2 linked regions of the Oryzias latipes genome follow. The protein of the gene in region 1 interacts with the protein of each later gene in a pairwise test. Links are inferred from orthologs where the notes say so. Each region holds a gene or a part of one and is shown on either strand. Other genes may lie near its edges.

What was found. The genes of interacting proteins can lie anywhere in the genome.
Region 2: the proteins of uba52 (region 1) and ube2r2 interact in a two-hybrid assay, tested with the Homo sapiens proteins (2 studies listed by BioGRID and IntAct, with this or other methods). The link is inferred for Oryzias latipes from reciprocal best matches to the Homo sapiens genes UBA52 and UBE2R2.

What each region holds. Positions count from the first base shown.
Region 1 is NC_019862.2:13,930,108-13,935,471, forward strand, and holds uba52 (ubiquitin-60S ribosomal protein L40), read right to left. Parts: upstream 3,460-5,364; 5' UTR 3,356-3,459; intron 2,916-3,355; 5' UTR 2,907-2,915; coding exon 2,804-2,906; intron 2,615-2,803; coding exon 2,528-2,614; intron 2,401-2,527; coding exon 2,298-2,400; intron 2,015-2,297; coding exon 1,925-2,014; intron 1,314-1,924; coding exon 1,304-1,313; 3' UTR 1,174-1,303; downstream 1-1,173.
Region 2 is NC_019863.2:17,254,412-17,259,577, forward strand, and holds the start of ube2r2 (ubiquitin-conjugating enzyme E2 R2), read right to left. Parts: upstream 3,620-5,166; 5' UTR 3,373-3,619; exon of another isoform or gene 3,060-3,372; 5' UTR 2,980-3,059; intron 2,701-2,979; exon of another isoform or gene 2,692-2,700; 5' UTR 2,691-2,691; coding exon 2,514-2,690; intron 1-2,513. UniProt on the Homo sapiens protein: E2 ubiquitin-conjugating enzyme that accepts ubiquitin from an E1 ubiquitin-activating protein, and catalyzes its covalent attachment to other proteins by an E3 ubiquitin-protein ligase complex.

The DNA.
Region 1 (5,364 bases):
TACAGGAACTACTAATTGACCAATTTCAAAACTCCAAATGTTCAAATTTCTCTTAAATATTTGCACACATTCAAATTCTCACAATTGTTAAACATGTTTCTAATTTCCATTTTGCTGTATTTACTGGATAACTTTTGAAATCATTGCATTTGCAATTGATCAACGGTCAATTCAAAGTTGCTTATACATTTTTTTATGTTTAAATGCGTTTAAAAATATATCAAATATTAAAATTAAAGTATGTGTAGTCTTACACTGAAGAGTAAAGTTTTAAAAGTAAGGACATTAAAGTTAATGATGCTTATGTCATGTGTCCATTTCACTCTACATTATGTATTTAAATATTATTGCTAATCTTACACATTTACGACACTCATTTACTGCCAAAACCTCATCCTCCAAGTATGTTTAGAGAAAATAATCCTCTTTGGCAACCTGTCTTTACTAATATTCTCAATTTACAAATGCATATAAAGGGTTAAACACTTCATAAACTGAAAGATTGTGTAGAAGGATTTATTTTTGTACATCTTTGGTCACATGGAAACAAAAGTTTTCAACAAGTTTTCTCATTCATTCATTTTCTATTCAGTTTAGTCCCTTTCGGGGTCACGGGGCTGCCGGAGCCTATCCCAGCCACTTTTGGGCGAAGGCAGGGGATGCCTTGACAGGTCGCCAGTCTGTCCCAGGGTGGAATGTCCACAATCACACACCCATTCACTCTCACACCTTTGGACAATTTAGAGTTGCCAATTAACCGATTAAACATGTTTTTGGATGGTGGGAGGAAGCCAGAGATCCCGGAGAAAACCCACACATGCACAGGGAGAACATGCCAACTCCACACAGAAAGGTCTTCCATTGATGTTTTGTTTTTCATGTCCCCCAGCCGGGACTTGAACCAGGGGCCTTCTTGCTGTGAAACAAGAGCGCTAACCACTGCGCCACCATGCAGCCCAGGTTTTCTAATCATTTTAAGAAACTTAATTTACCACCCATACACTTAGATTTATATCAAAAATGATCTGATCTTTCTTAGAATTTCTCAATAGAGCCATGAAAACGTTTGATTTGGAATGATCATCCAGCTCCCATTCGCCATTACGGAAATAATTGATTTGATATAACTTTCGATTTAAACAATAGTTGTCTCACTATGATCTTTTCATATAATTTTTGTGGAGCTAAAAGATTTGTCTTGTAAAATCACCAAAAAGCATGCAAGATTTAAGATAACCTGTAAAATATAGCAGGAAATCAAACCAGCTATATGTTCATTTAGGTTATGTAAACCACAAATCCTTCAGTGGAATCTGTCAAAAAAAGAGCAGAAATGTCAATTCTGGTTTACCTTCTCTTTATCCAATTTCCATTGTGATGAGGTCCATTAGTACAGTACACAAGCTCCAATATGATCAGATTTATGGGCCATTAAATATCACAAATATAATCTGCCATAGCTCTTTAAATGCTTTAGACTGAGGCAAGGCAGGACTACAAATTTGGACAGCTGTTACTTTTGCATAGGTTTTTGGGGGGGAATATTTAAAAAGGTTAAATAGTTTTACTATTAACAATACCTTCCCTTTGTGGAGCAATGGTATCTGAAGTTTTCTCTTTAAGCTGGCCCCACTGTCAGAAGCCCAGTTTTTTCCTCATTGATTTAATTAATTAAGCTGAACAATTGTAACGCAAGTAACACAGTTTAACATGATAGAATATTAGATACTTAGGGAATCTGAAAAACAAAAATAATATGTCACCAGCTGCAACTTTTTTTAAAGATAACCTCACTTTTTGCACTTGCAGCTTCCAATACCTTTCGTCTTTTCCACAGGCTAAATAAACAACACCTGGAATGGTTTTGTTAACATTTATTTTAACACCAAATGGCACAAAATGCCAATTCAACTGAAATGTTTACTTCAGCTTCTTCTTGGGGCGAAGGTTGTTGGTGTGGCCACACTTCGTCTTGCGGCAGTTGACGGCACGTGGGTGCAGACGGGCATAGCACCTGCAAAAATGACCAGGGATATTATAGGGTTCAGAAAAAATAAAGACAATCTATAGGAAAAGGTGGAGCTCACAGCTGCTCCTGCTAACACCACAAGTTGGGAAAATAAGGTCGAGAACTGCCCACAACTGTATGTGCCTTTAGGAATATGCATTTTTTACAAAAGCATTTCAGGTAAGGTAATCCTTTAAATTTCAACTTTACAGAATAACAAGTTTGTATACTTTTAACCAGGTTTCTCAACCTGGAAGCCATTTCAAAAAATAGCAACATGTAATCTTACTTGCGGCAGATCATCTTGTCGCAGTTGTATTTCTGAGCCAGCTGTCTGAGTGAAGGCTCAATGATACCACCACGCAGACGAAGAACCAGATGAAGGGTTGATTCTAGTAGGGAGACAACATATTGTTAACTGCAGGCTCAGAATACACAAGCACTTTTAACCTCGCCTTCTACAAAGGACCATTTGGCAGGTTGATTTCAATACCAGTATTGTGCAAAAAGAGCCAATACCTTTCTGGATGTTGTAGTCTGACAAGGTGCGTCCATCCTCGAGCTGCTTTCCAGCAAAAATCAGACGCTGCTGATCAGGGGGAATTCCTGCAGACAAGGTAAAAATAAGTCAACCAAACACGTAATGGCAGAACTATATCAATTAATATGACCTATATCAATTAATATATAAATATCTTCATATAGGACTTTGAAATATGTAACACAACAAAGCTATTTAATCGTAAAAACAAAAAACTTCACATCCCTGCTTTTAATTAGTTCATATGAACTCACCTTCCTTATCCTGGATCTTAGCCTTGACATTTTCGATAGTGTCTGAGGCCTCTACCTCGAGGGTGATGGTCTTCCCCGTCAATGTCTTCACAAAAATCTGCATGATTGCAGTCTGAATAAAAAAGAAGATAGTTATTTTACACTTCTGTACAAGTGCAGCTAGCTAAACTAGACCCGAGATTACGCCGCATCTCTGGCTGAGGTCCAACTAACGTTTTTAAACAAAAACAAGTAATCTTCAGAGTCTTTATTGATATTGTATTTGCTATGCATGTTTAAGAATTAATAAAGTCATTACTGTGTATTTAAATGAACGCCTGTAGATGTTCGTTTAGCTGTTAGCTTACTGGGCTAGTCAGGCCTCACCACATGCCTACAGTTAGCGATGGATTTAGTCAAGATCAGCGGAATTTTACGTATTAAAGCCATGTGAGCAAAATACAAATGTGAATCGTATGTTTATTTGACAACAATTGACTAGTATGGTCGAATTCAGTAGCTCATAAATGATTAAAATAGCATAACCGTAGAATGAACTCAACGTGTACTCACCCGGCCGCTAGCTAAGCCTCCACGAAAAGAGAGCGGAAACGTCGCTGAAAAGAGACTCGTGACTTCCGTTTTATTTTTTATAAAAAAGAATAATCAAATAAGAAATTTTTTTCTTAAATTTAGTTTTTAAATAAATCTTATTTACTTGACTTTTCAGTATTACTAATTGTAAAATAGCATGCTATAGTATTCATTTTTTGCACTGAAATACGTAAAATACTGTACAAAAATATGACATTGTTTGTTATAAAGGAATTTGTGGTAAAGAACAGACTTTGATTCAATTTAAAATTAGGAATAATATTGGTATAAAAAGTGGCCGATGGAATAGATACAAGATCATCCTGGAACAAGCTCTTATCTTTAGCTTCAAATGTTTAACAGAAAAAAAGCAGAAACTACCTAGAGGGAGATTGTGACACATCAGGAGGATTGAGTGTCAAAAAAGGAGTTGGGTTATTTAAATAATTCTTTAATCTAGATTACTTTAAGTGTATCGGTAAGTGTGCCAAGTTCAATAAAATGTAAGCTTCCTTCATCAGAGGAATAAAAAGTGACAGATTTTCATAGATAGTTGGTTTTATTTCTCCATAAAAAAATGTACAATATCTCATTAGTTGCATTGCAGATTTACATACTGTTCAGATGTGACGTATTGGGACTTTTAATAAAAGTGGAAGTTTTTGATTTAAAGTGCCCCAAAAGATTGTAGAGTATTAACAATACTATAAATCTTGGTTTCTCTCTCGTCCTGTTCAAAGGTTAAAATCTGTGAATTAGATGCTAAATGGATGCAATAACTGCTTACACGGACTGGAATTTGTTTTATATTTATAATATTTATTCATGCCAACTTTTCTTTTGACAATAAAATTGAAAGTTTTGTGACCAGCTCAACTGAAAATGCACCAAGCATCGGATTTGCTGAATTATATAACTTTGGATCACTTCCTTCTCAGCAAGAGGACAAGTCTAGTACATTCCAAGATCCGTTTGTTCATTTACGCTGTTTTAAAACTTTTGGGTTAAATCCACATTTTCTTCATCACACATTAGTCTGAATTTTTCAACATATTAAAATGATACAATCATTTGTCAGACTTGTCTAGGAAAAAACTCCCCAGATGTAATTAAATTAGATTATGTAAGAAAAGTAAAAAAAAAGTTTAATTTTTAACAAAAGCAATAAATTATGTTCTTCCCAGTAAAAGGGACATTTCTAGATAAAGAGAGGTGTTTTCTTGTAACTTTGATTCTCAGAAAGTCGGACTCATCAAAAATGTAACTTTTTAACCTGATCCAATATTAACTGACCTTTGAGGAAAAGAAAAATACTTTTGACACAAAACGATCACATTTTTCAGTCACCCCCCTCCCCCCCCCAGTTTATTTTTTGTTAAAAATTGATGATTATAAACCTAAAGCCTGAAGTTGCCAAAATACAAAAAAGGTGTCAAAAATTAAATAAAAATAAATAATAATTGTAATAATAATCCTTATAATGATCAAAAATAAAATATTATTATTGTTGTTATAATTATTATTACAATAATCATCATCATCAAGCATTTACTTTTAAAAAGCACTTCATAAAATTCTCAAGGACAATTTACAGGTAAAATACAGTAAAAAAACACAAAAAAAAACAAAGAAATGAAATTTAAAGTAAATGCGTCAAGTCTGTTCTTTAACATTTTCTTTAGATATAAGCAGCAAATGTGTATTTTTACCTAACAAAATGAACAACAAATAGTCTTAATTTCACAGATTAGTTTTTACATAACATAAACCTACAGGTTTATTCCCATATTAAGGGTCGAGAGTTGGATTCATATTCTGTACTTGTCATTCCTTCAACACTTACTATTAAGACAGCTATCATATTTTCTGACTGTGTCCCTTCTAAACATCCTACTTGCTCCCTGTTTACACTGTCAATGTTCACTATAAAGAGGGCAGCTGTGTTGCAGAAACATTTGAGTGAGGTGAACATGAAGTCACCTAAGTGT
Region 2 (5,166 bases), on another chromosome or scaffold:
CATCTTATTATTTTATACACATCATGAGAGAAAGGCCAGAAAAACATGCTAAAAACACAATTCTTACTGAAAGTGGGTCTTTAAAGACTATCTACAAGTGATCTCCTTCTGCTGCTTATCTTGACATCTCCTGTGCTGCTCCATAAAGGGACATGGAGAAAGAGGTTTCAACTAGCAGAAGTGCACCAAGCAAATGTATTTTTTAATTAAAAGATGGAAACAATTTCTGAGACAGATGATTTTTTGAAGTTAAAAAAATATCAATGTGAAATTCAGGCTTGGATGACTTTTGATTTCCTGTCTTCTATGGTGAAACATGACATGTTATTTTTTAAGGCCTCAGCAGCTTAGAACAACAAAAATACACTGAATGGCAATATTTTAAGTTCCAGTAGTACCAATGAAAACTTTATGAGCATGATTTATGTATTATGACATAGATTAAGTCTCTGTGCTTGCATAATTTGCTAAAAATCAGGCACATTCTCTCAGAATCAAAGAGAGACTAGTCTGTGTGTCTGTGACGTCTTACTACTAGGTCGGAAAAACCTCTATCAGATCCTGGAGATCTCCCACCCTGCCTGTTTTCCAGCTTTTCTTTCCCTCCTTGCTGCTGATTTGCAGACTCGGGTGATTTACTGAACACACCTGATCCAGCAAAACAGTAGCAAGAAGAGCAGGGAGAGCTGGAAGTCAGGCTGCGTGGTAGATCCTGAAGGTTGGGCAGCAAAATGATTGAAAATCTAAATGATTCAAAATCTGTAAAGTTTTGCTAACAATTGAGAAAAGAGATCAAACTTCTCTACAAGTTTTAAATACAAACGACTTTTTTTACTTGGATATAGACGTAACACCTGACTTTGTAATAAAATTCTAGGATGCAGCAGGAATCTTCCCTAATTGTGAATGTTTCCTGAATCTGCTTTTATCGCTCATCTTAAGCCAGTATTGCTTTTGCTGATTTTTCTCTTTTTTTTTTTTTTTGGTCTCTCAACACACATTTCTGTGTTTGTTTTCCACCACTGGCTTCTTCCTGTAGCCCGCTTCTCCTGGAGATTTCTTCTGTTTAAAGGCAGTTTTCCTGTCCACAGTCATTTCAGTCATTTCTGTACATGTATACTCAGTACAGCAAAAATACAAGATAGTTCTTCAGCCTCACTCTTTGGCCACAAACCACTATTAAAAGACATTTATTTCAATCTGACTTTGTTGGGGTTATTTTGTCCTATTTAAATTTTGATAATAAAAATTATAGGATTTAAAAAAGTTTTTACCTTGTTTTTGTCAGGGATTTGTATGTAGTCTTTGTATAGCACCCTGAGGAAACCTTGGTTATGAAATTGTGTTTAAAAAAAAAAAAAAAGAACTAAAATCTGTAAGGTGGCAAAATGTTTGTACAAATTAACAAACATAGGCTACCAAGTACATTTCCAGTTTAGCACGATAAGGAATAAGGAACCCATTTGTGGTAAGTGGTCTGTATCTGTACAAATTTTGTATCTTTCTTAAATGCAAGACTTTGCAAAGGAAGCTCCACCGTTCATGCTTGAATGTGCAAAAGCGTAAGACTTACCAAAAAACTCACAAGTCCTCTGAATTTGCACTTACAATCTAACTACTCAATAAAGGCCCCAATAAATAAGCAGTTTTCCAATGAGCATTAAAGACCCACTCCACTGCAAATCGTGTTTTTGTTGCTTTTAACAGGTTCTTTTTTCTCACAATGGAGGACATTTATAAAGACAATTAAGCTTAAAATTGCATTTCCGAGTATTCCTTTACTCAAATTGTTGTGAACCAGGAGCAGACCAAAAAATGTTGTTGGAAAGGGAGTTTATTTGTGATGCAGAAAATACGCTGGGCGAGCCATAAACTACTTTCTCCGCTCCCCCTGACCCTCTCACACTCAGGTGTGCATTAGTAGTAGAGATCAACACTAATGTGCAGGAAAAGCTGATCAGTCTATCATTCCAGTCCAATGTGTGGAAATACTTTGAATTTTGCAAAGACATGTGACCATGCAGTGAGCTAGAATGTTCTAATAATGCTCCCTTTGGATTATTTTGATGTGGGAAATAACAGTAGGCTGAACTTTATAAAACTAAAATGTGAATGGATTTGACATTAACTCTTGTGTACTTGTATGTTTGTACACATATTTAATTTACACTTGATTATCGTGCAAGAAACTCCTGGGATCTGGAAGACTTTACCTTCACTGTTCAGTTCTAAGTATTTATCTCTGAGTCACACTGGTGGAATTTTGACTAAAGATGTCCTGTATTTATTTTAGGTCAGTAAATTGGATCAAATCGGATTGTTCAAAATGAACCAATATCGACAATGAATCTTATCGTCAACCAAAAATTATGATATGAATCAAATTGTTGTTAAAATGAATCGTTACAGCCGTAGGGTGCCTCCACAACAGAACGCACTTTCATAAATCTATCTCCTTAAACATCCAGAAGCTGGATTTCCTTGAGTACACCCGATTGGAGGGTTTGTCCCACCTTGAAGTAGCCTCCCTCATAGAGGGTATTTGGGGGTCCGAAAATCGCCACCTCCCAGTTGTAAAGGTCAGCCTCCTCCACCAGGGTGATGCGGAAGCCTTCCACCGGCTGCTCCTGCAGGGACTTCAGCTCCATCATCAAGGCCTTCTGTGAACTGGGGGTTGTCTGGTGGGCCATGCTGATCCCATTTGCAGCGGGGCAGGAAAAAGAGGGGGGAACCAATACATGTGGTCACATTCAAGATGTTGTCAGGACGACTACAGGAAAAATTTAAGGATCATTTTTAGATGCACTTGGAGCAACACTCTCTGAAAACCGCAAACAGGAGAAAAAAAATCAGTAAGTGGAACGAATTAAAAAAACAAAACAAAACAAAAAAACAAGCCCAAACATGCTGTGTGGCCTGCCAAGCTAGGTTCAGTTCGGAGGCCCTTTAAGGGGGAAGAAGTTAATGAAAAGTGGTTACCTCTCTCCTTGCACTGCTTTGTGTTCAGGTCTTTACGGCTCAAACCACGTAGATAATCTCATTTGTCCATACTAACCATCCTGTCTCGACAAAAACAATAACAGGAACAGCTGATTTCAACAAGAGCCTAAGGCTGGTCCTCGTGTTGTATTTTTGTTCGAAATTCTTTTATGTGCCAGCAGTGTTGACAGTTGCCAGGGAACAAATAAATATCAGTCTGACACGGTCTCCTTTAGCTTGTTCTCGGGCTCACACTTGTCATTTTCCTCTCCGTGCCATCTCTCCAAGCACTCGGTTCGATTCAGACTGGCGCCCAGCTGATCGCTGCGTGTTTATGTTTGTTTATCTGTTCTCCAGCAGTCTCAACTTCTCCAACGTCAGCTAAACCCCTACCGAACAACTTGGGTCAAAAAAGAGGAGCTGTTCCGCTCCCTGCCGTCCCCTCCAGCACAGCAGCGGCGTGAATCCCGGGGACGTTCGAGCCCGCGGTCGCAGGAAAGACCCAAAGAGAGACGTTTACATTCAAGTATGACAGTGGATTTAATCGATATTTTATTTTTTAGCCTATCGATGCTTCCGGCTATCATTGCGCGTGTCTGTAGAACGTAACGAGCGTAACAACCCGAACGTGACGTGCGCGCACTCGACAGAGCAGAGGGGTAACAGCGCGTGCTTTGACTTACTTTGTCAAAAACAGACCAACACGAATTACTTTCTAAAAATAATAATTATAACACATGTTCAAGATAATGTCTTTTATCTTTCACTTTATTGAAAGTAATATAAGTTATTCTTTCGGTGTAAAAGTAACAAAAAAAGTGTGTATGTCTCATTATTATGCTAATCGAGTATTTAATCTTCAACATAAACATTTGGAGAATTTTATTTTAATTAAACATGATTGTTTAAGTCTCGCCATGTTATAAATAAATAATATATATATATATATATACATATATATATATATATATATATATAGAGAGAGAGAGAGAGAGAGAGAGAGATTATTTAAAATCTTTATGTTTTTGAAATTATGGAAAACATTGATTCCCATCTTTGTCTGACGTTTTGTGACGCCACACAGGAACCAGCGGAGGGTGCTCTGTAAATCAAGATGGCGACCTACGACGAAGCAGGAAAGAGAATTCAGTTTAAATAAAACTGATTCGAGGACCAGTTTTATCCCTAGTTCGAGCATACATCGGGTTCGTTTGGATTCTGAGAGAACGGGCGGAACAAAACGGGTAATAATGTTTTTTTGTGTTTGAGTGAGTTTAGTTTGACGTGAGGGGCGGTGGCGGTATAGACAGGTCTCGTTAGGCAGGCCACAGACGAAGCTAAGCACATAGCATGGACTATGGCATTCTGTACCATGACATAACCAGGGCTAATGTCAGTATTGGAATTTAATAGTTCTTTCTTTTATTCTAACTAAAATAATACCATGTTCACAATATTGCTATACACATAAAAAGTTCCAGCTGTCAAGATCGAGGTTGTAGCTTAGCCACTAGCTAAAGTAAAGCTTTGCCAAATCATCACAGTAAATAAACAACAAAAATAATAATAAAAAAGAACTTTATGCTTTTTCTAAGTGAAAAGTCACATTGGCAGGCAGGCGTTACAGCCTGGGGGTTTGTAAAAATATGATCCCTGCTTAGAATCCGACGTGAACGTTTGGTCGACAGTGACTGACATTTCGTAAACAATCTTCATGATATAATACGCACATGACATAAACATGATGCGGGAAAAAAAATAACCTGCGAAAATCTGCTAAACCCGCGTTTGACTTGTTATGTAACTTCACAATGAAAGTAAAATACTCCTAAAAGTATCATTTCAACACTTCCTTATCCAGTTTAACCGCAATTCTGTCTTAATCTAACAGAGATGCGTAAAGTAAGAAGTTGTTGTCTACATATGGTATATAAATGCGATCTTAACTGTTGTCCTAGTTACGAATCTATGACCTTTAAAAAGTTAACGCTCTAAAATTGTCATCGCAGACAGAATCCCCCTGATCACAAGATGCTCTGTTGATCATGTGTGGTCCGGGGCAGATTCCCGAGACTAACATTTAACCTTTGAGTTAGGCGCACAACAGTATTTTCTCCCAGTTTTGAGTGTTGTTGCAAAAACTGCATGTTTAGAATAAGATGGTATTCTTCATGTAAAGCACGATAA